Coturnix japonica: one gene and its partner. The protein of the gene in region 2 binds, or shares a complex with, the protein of the main gene of each other region. Links are inferred from orthologs where the notes say so. Each region holds a gene or a part of one and is shown on either strand. Other genes may lie near its edges.

The links. Proteins that work in one complex are often made in the same cells at the same time.
Region 1: the proteins of BCL2L1 (region 2) and TPT1 are in contact, whole or in part, in a crystal structure (PDB 4Z9V), measured with the Homo sapiens proteins. The link is inferred for Coturnix japonica from reciprocal best matches to the Homo sapiens genes BCL2L1 and TPT1. Residues at the interface, in NP_001304848.1 of Homo sapiens: Ala93, Glu96, Phe97, Arg100, Tyr101, Ala104, Phe105, Leu108, Gln111, Ser122, Gln125, Val126, Glu129, Leu130, Asp133, Asn136, Gly138, Arg139, Val141, Ala142, Phe146, Leu194, Tyr195, Ala199, Ala200, Ser203; in NP_003286.1 of Homo sapiens: Phe14, Asp16, Ile17, Lys19, Ile20, Arg21, Ile23, Ala24, Asp25, Gly26, Leu27, Cys28, Leu29.

Annotation. Positions count from the first base shown.
Region 1 is NC_029516.1:150,168,596-150,172,733, forward strand, and holds the start of TPT1 (translationally-controlled tumor protein), read right to left. Parts: upstream 2,802-4,138; 5' UTR 2,653-2,801; coding exon 2,625-2,652; intron 2,391-2,624; coding exon 2,317-2,390; intron 2,141-2,316; coding exon 1,950-2,140; intron 1,132-1,949; coding exon 1,026-1,131; intron 618-1,025; coding exon 501-617; intron 1-500. UniProt on the Homo sapiens protein: Involved in calcium binding and microtubule stabilization. Acts as a negative regulator of TSC22D1-mediated apoptosis, via interaction with and destabilization of TSC22D1 protein.
Region 2 is NC_029535.1:9,026,016-9,029,231, reverse strand, and holds the end of BCL2L1 (bcl-2-like protein 1), read right to left. Parts: intron 971-3,216; coding exon 833-970; 3' UTR 501-832; downstream 1-500. UniProt on the Homo sapiens protein: Potent inhibitor of cell death. Inhibits activation of caspases. Appears to regulate cell death by blocking the voltage-dependent anion channel (VDAC) by binding to it and preventing the release of the caspase activator, CYC1, from the mitochondrial membrane.

The DNA of each region.
Region 1 (4,138 bases), on a different chromosome or scaffold from region 2:
GCTCAGACAGCTGGAACTTCCAGACAGAAAAAGGTTAAGTACATAAGGAAGGTGCTGCCATGTTCCCATATTTAGGGCAGTATTTAGTTACACAAGAACTGCCTATTTAAATAAAGGCAGATTAAGTGAAAGAGAGAAATACAGTGAAGTACAGCACTCCAGAGTTAGTTATCCCATACAAGTGGGTCCTGAACTAGATGGAATACATTTCATAGTCTAAACCATTACCATTTAACACACACTTCACTGAGGCAATTCCTTCTGCATTACTCATCCATTACATCACTATGAATCACTGCAGTGAAGCCACATCCCCTTTTAGTATGACTCAATAGCCCAACGGAAGCCCCAGCCACTTTACATAACACAAAGCAGCAATCAGACTGTGCAAACACAGTTTTTAGACTGGCATTCAACTTATTAACAGAGGTAGATTAATGCAGGGAAAGAGCTACTGATGTTTTTAAGTACATTCACCCCAGTTCAATGTTGGTACTTACACATTTCTCAATCTCTAAGCCATCCTTAAAGAAGATCATATAGGGGGTCACACCATCCTCACGGAAATCCAGGAGAGCCACCATCCCATCTGGATTCATGTTCTCTCCTACAAAGAACTTCAAGGAAATGCGTTACTGAGACACTCAGTGAGCTACTACCACCAAGCAGCACATATTATACGTGAAATCTATACAGGTTCCCTCAACAGCTGAAGGAATCTTAGTACGCAGCATTACCACACTACTGTCAGCAGTCAAATAAGACACAGTAGGGGGCAAAACAATTCACCTTTAACATCTGTAACCACAGCTCCTTTCAGCTACATTTGCAGTTATCACGGTACCTCAAGCTTGTAATGAGCTCCCCAGACACCTGCAAGTCTTTCTAGTATTTCTTCTCCCTGACTATCAAGGCTCCAAATAAACTCAATGAGGGTCATTTTTACAGTAGGAGCTCTCTAACCACAAGCAGAAACAATCTCAGCCCGTATTACCGAAACAACGCTATAAAGAAACACAACCAACCTGGTAGTTTTTAAAGTTGGCAAGGATGTGTTTGATTTGTTCTGCAGCCCCTGTCATAAAAGGCTTTACTCTCTCCGGCTTGTGTTCCTCAAGTCTGGCTTTGATTCTAGGAATAAAAAGCAAGTTTTGAGAACACGTTCCACACTACACACAGTGCAGCAGCATCATAGTAGGGAGCTACCAGCAGCCACAGCTGGATTGTGTTGCATTCCCCATCCCCAACCCCTCCACGAATGCTGGTGAATTAACAGAATGGGGCCTACCCCTCAGTTTCATTTTACTTCTAGGTTTGTGCTAGGCAAAAATTAGCAAGCCATTTATACAGCAACAAGAGTACCCTCCATCAGCATCACAAGAACCGTTCTCACCTTTAACACTAGCCCACTTTGAGCAAAGGAATCCATCCTTTGGAAGCAAATCTGCTCTCAGAATCATAGAACACGTTGGGTCAGAAGGGACCACAAAGCCCACCCAGTTCCAAACCCTGCAGTGGGCAGGGCTCATGGATCAGGCCACCCAGGGCCCCGTCCAACCTGACCTTGAGCACCTCAGCCAAGATAAGCACAGATATCCCCACAGCAATGCTTTAAAGCTTCAGGCTGGACATTAGGAAGCATTACTTTTCGGAAAGAGTAGTCAGGCATTGGAATGCACTGCCCAGGGAGGTGGTGGAGTCACCAACCATGGGAGTGTTCAAGGAATGTTTGGATGTTGTGCTGAGGAATATGATTTAGCCAGGAAGTATTGGTAATGGTTGGACTAGATGATCTTCTAGGTCTTTTCCAACCTTGATAATTCTGTGATTCTGTAGATCTGCCAAAGATTCAGACATCACTGAGTTTCACAGCTAGTCTGGCAACTCTAAGTGCTGGCAACACTAGGAACAAAAGCAACCTTATATGGGAGCAGCCCACCAGTACTTACGCTTTCATGTAGTCCTTGATGTACTTCTTGTATGACTCCTTTGTGAAGCTGGTTTCCTGGAGGTGGTGGTTTATCACTATATCCACACCAGTTATCACCGTGGCTTCTGTCCCATCTCCCTCAGGACCTTCAGCAGAGGCATTGCCACCAATTAGAGAGTCATCAATTTGACCCTCTGTCCTGGTGACCATCTAGATTTAGAGACATCAAAAAACTTCAAGGCTGTGCGCACACCTCGCTTCTCTTACACACCTACGTGTCGGCAGGGCACTACCTCAGAGCCACGCTCCCCGAGCTCGGCTCTACCCCACCCTCTCCCCTTCTCCCACCCTGCCCCGCCGCCTCGACTCGTGCGGCTCACACTCACCTTCCCCTCCACTTCCAGGCACAGGCCGTTCGCCACCTCGCGGATCTTGTAGATGTCCGAGAACATCTCGTCCTCTGCAGGGACACGCACACACAGGCGCCCAACGCCTCGTCAGCCTCCGCCATCCCGAGCCCGGCCCCCCCGCAGCTCCGCCGCATTCCCTCCCCCTCCATCCACCCCTCCTCCCCGCATGGCACATGCGCAGCCCCGCCGGGCTCCGTGCCCGGCCCAGGCCTCAGCCCTCAGCCCTCCGCCCGCCTCCCTCCGTCCCATATCGCAGCCCCCCAACCCCCCTCGGCCGCTCTTACGGCTGATGCAGTCCCGGTAGATGATCATGGTGACGGTGCGGGGCGGCGGGGGGAGCGGCGGCTCGGCTCACTGCTCTGCGACCCGAGAGCGGGCGGGAGCGAGGCGGAAAGGGCCGAGTCAGCGCCGGGCGGAGCTCATATAGCGGGCGGGACCACCGCGTCACCGAGCGCACATGCGCCCTTCCAGCACTACGCCTCTGCCGCCTTCACAGCGACACCGAGCGGCCGGTGGGCGCCCTCAGAGCATGGAGTCGGTGTGTGAGGGGCGGAGCTGTGCCCTTGTTTGTACCACACCGCTGTAAGGGGTGCATTGAGCTCCATCAGGAGAGGGGTGGTCAGCAGGGATAGGGAGGTGATTGTCCCTCTCTACTCGGCTCTTGTGAGGCCCCATCTGTTGTACTGTGTCCAGGTGTGGAGCCCTCAGTACAAAAAAGACATGGAGATTTTGGAAAGGGTCCAGAGGAGGGACAGGAAGATGATCAGGGGGCTGGAGCACCTCCCCTATGAGGACAGGCTGAGGGAGTTGGGTTTGTTCAGCCTAGAGAAGAGAAGGTTGCGGGGTGACCTCATTGCAGCCTTTCAGTACCTGAAGGGAACCTACACCCAGGAGGGGAGTAAGCTCTTTGAAAGGGCTGACAATAGCAGGACACGGGGAAATGGTTTTAAGTTAAAAGAGGGAAGATTTAGGTTGGATGTTAGGGGGAAGTTCTTCACTAGGAGAGTGGTTAGGCCCTGGAACAGGCTGCCCAGGGAGGTTGTGGATGCCCCGTCCTTGGAGGTGTTCAAGACCAGGTTGGATGGGGCCCTGGGCAACCTGATCTAGTAAATGTGTATGTTTGGTGGCCCTGCTAGGCAGGGGGGTTGGAACTACATGATCCTTGAGGTCCCTTCCAACCCGGGTCATTCTGTGATTCTGTGATTCTGAGCTGACCCCTAAGCTAAAGAAGCAGAATCATTCATCTGACTTGTTTAAATGCACCTGTTTACCATGCACCATGCTGGAGTGCGTGAGTGGTGATGTTATCTGTGCAGTGCTGCTTATATCTCTCTGGAGCGCTGACTCCAGCTTTGGCAGTGCGCTTTAAATAGGTGTGGACTAGTTGGCAAGAGCTCCACAGAGCAGGATAATGATGAGAGCTCTGAAAAGCGCAGCCTCCAGGTAGTTCTTCTTATAAAACAAGGCGTCAGTACAGAATCACAGAATCACAGAATGACCTGGGTTGGAAGGGACCTCAAGGATCATGTAGTTCCAACCCCCCTGCCTGGCAGGGCCACCAAACATGCACATTTACTAGATCAGGTTGCCCAGGGCCCCGTCCAACCTGGCCTTGAACACCTCCAAGGACGGGGCATCCACAACCTCCCTGGGCAGCCTGTTCCAGGACCTAACCACTCTCCTAGTGAAGAACTTCCCCCTAACATCCAACCTAAATCTTCCCTCTTTTAACTTAAAACCATTTCCCCATGTCCTGCTATTGTCAGCCCTTTCGAAGAGTTTACTCCCCTCCTGGGAG
Region 2 (3,216 bases):
TCTGTGTGTCTGCGGGATGGGGAAGTGCTCCTTAACTCCCCTGCCTCCATCCCGGCCCCAATCCAACAGCAAAGCAGGGTCCTGGCGTGGGTTGTGTGGGGAGGGACGGACATGGGGCACAAAGGAGGACATGCAGTGTCACACAGCAATCTGAGCAGAGGGAGGGGGACGAGGAAGAGGGGGGTTATGAGGAGGAGGTACAGCCCTGTGCCTGCTGGAGGTGCAGGGGACAGAGACTCTGGGGCTGCAGGGCAAGTTTGGGGCTACTCACCATCAGCTTTCACCCAGGTGCTTTCTGCCTCACTGCAGTGCCAGGCGAGCAGGGGACAATCAAGAGACGTGGCAGGGATGGCAAAGCTCAGCCCTGTCCCCATGGCAGCCAGGCTGCTGCAGCAGGGCAGGGCTGGTAGCGGGAGCCCTGCTTGAGGCTGGAGCCCAGATCCTTGCTCTGCCTGGGGAACTTTATATTAGTGACACATCTACACACACGCACGCACTCACACATGCAAAAATAAGTCTGTTTATTCTTTTTCAAAGTGATCTAAAGGATCCTGCAGGGCTGGGACACCTTCTAGCCACTATTCATCCCACCCGCCGGGATCTGCCCAGCGCTGGGAGCTGTTGGCTGAAGTGCTGCATTGCTCTGAGCGCCTTTAAAACACAACGGAACGGTAAATGAGAGGGGCTACAAGAAAAGGAGCTGGAGGAGCGAGGAAGGAAGCTCCGTGGAGCTGGGTGAGTGCCCCGTGATGGTGATGGTGCTCGGGAGCTGCGTAGTGGATGTGATGGTGAAGGCGCAGCCATCCTGGTGCCAGGGGGACACAACCATGGATCACTTGCGGCTCAGCAGGGATCCCAGCAGAAGAACTCCGGCCACGGTCGCCCCGGTCAGGAGCCATTTGTTGAAGGTCTCCTGGCCCTTCCTCAGCTCGGCAGCAGCATTATTCCCATACAGGTCCACAAAGCGCTCCTGCAGGCAGAAGAGAGCGGTGAGAAGGGGGGAGGTGAGAGGCTGCAGTGCCAGCAATGAGCAGCAGGGTGAGAACAGCCTGGAGAACAGCCTGCCCTCAATCCCACACCTCACAGGGCTCCCTCCCTTCTGCTGCCCATTTTCCCCAACCCCAGTGGAGGTTGTGGTGGCTTCGGGCTCTCCTTTTTCTCTGTAGAAAAGGCCGAGTTATTCTGGGAAGCAGAGAATCACAGAATGGTCACAGACAGCTCATCCAGTTCCAACCCCCTGCCATGGGTTGGTTGCCCCCTCCCCAGCTCAGGCTGCCCAGGGCCCCATCCTCCAACCATGGGGCACACGCAGGTCTCTGGGCAGCAGTGCCAGGTCCTCACTGCCCTGATGGTGGAAGGAGCAGAAAGGCTGCCAGGCTCCCACAGGCAGGAAAGCACCGGTGGGGACAGAGCGGATGACAGACGCCGTGTGCTTCCTTGCTCTGAATGATGCACGCAGGGCAGGGGGGGAAGCACAGGACTGGCCATAAGAGAAGTCGATGCCAGGAAAGATTTGCAAGGAGAACACCACAGAGCTCTAAAATTAGCATTGAAGCGTGATCATTGCAGGAGAAAAACTGAGCCAGTGTCAGGCTGCATTGCTGCTGAGGCTGCAGCCCATAGTCCCAGTGCAAGCATCACTGTGTCCAGGGCATCACGATGTCTCTGCTCCCCTGTCCTGCCTGGGTCACCTTGCAACACTCTGCATTTTGCACTTGGGTTCTGCAAGTTGCTGCTGCAAAGCTGGACAAGAAGCCCTGCCTTCCCCCAGGCTGTGGGAGCGTGGCCAAGCACCAGCCCAGGAATGCAGCTGCTCCAGCCTGGCCCAGCCAAGCCAGCCTCTCCAGCTCTGCATCCCCAGCCACAGCCAGAACCGGGCAGATGTCACCGTGCAGCAACGTGCTGCTGCCCCTCACCACTCATCCTGCAAAGCCAAGAGGAAGCAGAATACCCAGAACCTGGATATCCCCCTGCAAGACCAGGGATGAGTGCAGGGCCCTGCAACAGTGACAAGGCAGGGAGCTTCACTGCCCTGGTTTATCAGAGCTGAGCAGGAGCCTGCAGGCAGCCCTCTTGCCTTGGGACCTCCCGCAGCTCAGCCAGGGGCTGGCAGGGCTGTACCTTGAGCCATCTTCCCAGCAAGGTCCCTGCTCCCTGATAAGTGAATGCAGTTCCAGTAAGCAGCTGCTCTGGAAAAACAGAGATAAGCCTGGCTGGTTCTGTGCTGCTGTCACGCCTCACCATAGCGTTCCAAGGTTGGGACAACATTCCTGCCTGGTCTTTCACCTTGCCACATGTGTGCATTGCACAGCAAGCTCTTGCACATCAAAGTGCTGCACTGTAAGGCATGCAGCTTGTCTTGTTTCCCCTGCTTGGCCACACAGCTCTCCCACCCAGCAGCCCACAGCCACCAGTTCATGCAAGTGCTGCCCAAAGCAGCTGCTCCCAGCTCTGCTCAGCAGTGTCAGGAGGAAGGCTGTGGAAACAGACAGCGATGGATGGGAGGATGGGAGCCTAAACACAGGGCAGCAAACACAGCATTGCCCAGAACAGCCCCACCAGCCCCACTGCACAGGGGCCCCCTGCTCCATTCACACAAAGCACTGAATGCTGCAGCTGCTCTCAGGTCAGAGGAAAGATGCTGTGCACATCAAGGTATTTCCCCTATAAAAACAAGTCTTATTGCTCAGGTGTTCCTTAAGGCTGGTCCCACTGAGCCAAGCACCAAGTGCTTCCATCCCTGCTCCTCAGGGTCTTCCTGGGGCACAGAGATGTCCCCAATGTACCCAGTGAGGCCACAGAGGTACCGGGGCCATGCAGATGGTGGCACCTCTGAGCCAGAGCCTCCTATAAGGGTGGGAGAAAAAGAGGCACAGGGAGAGGCCCCCAGGGCAGAGGGGACAGGACGGCATCTCATCATCTCATCGCTCAGTGCTCCCTTTTCTTTGGTACATGCCTCTCAGCTTGGGGAAAGGCAATTCCAAGAAGCACGTTTTGGAGAGCCTGTTTCTAAGAAAAGGAAGTGTTTGCTAAAGAAGAGATAAATGCATATGGTGAACTATCGGGTGCCACAGGAGGAGGAGAGAGGGATAGGAGCTGAGTGTGGCAGGGGGTGGGGGGAGGGTAGAACCCTTCTCCTTCCCCTGGGAACAAGCATGGGGCAGGGGGCCTGGGGACCTGTCCTACCATGGAGCACAGCTGTGATCCCAGATGTGT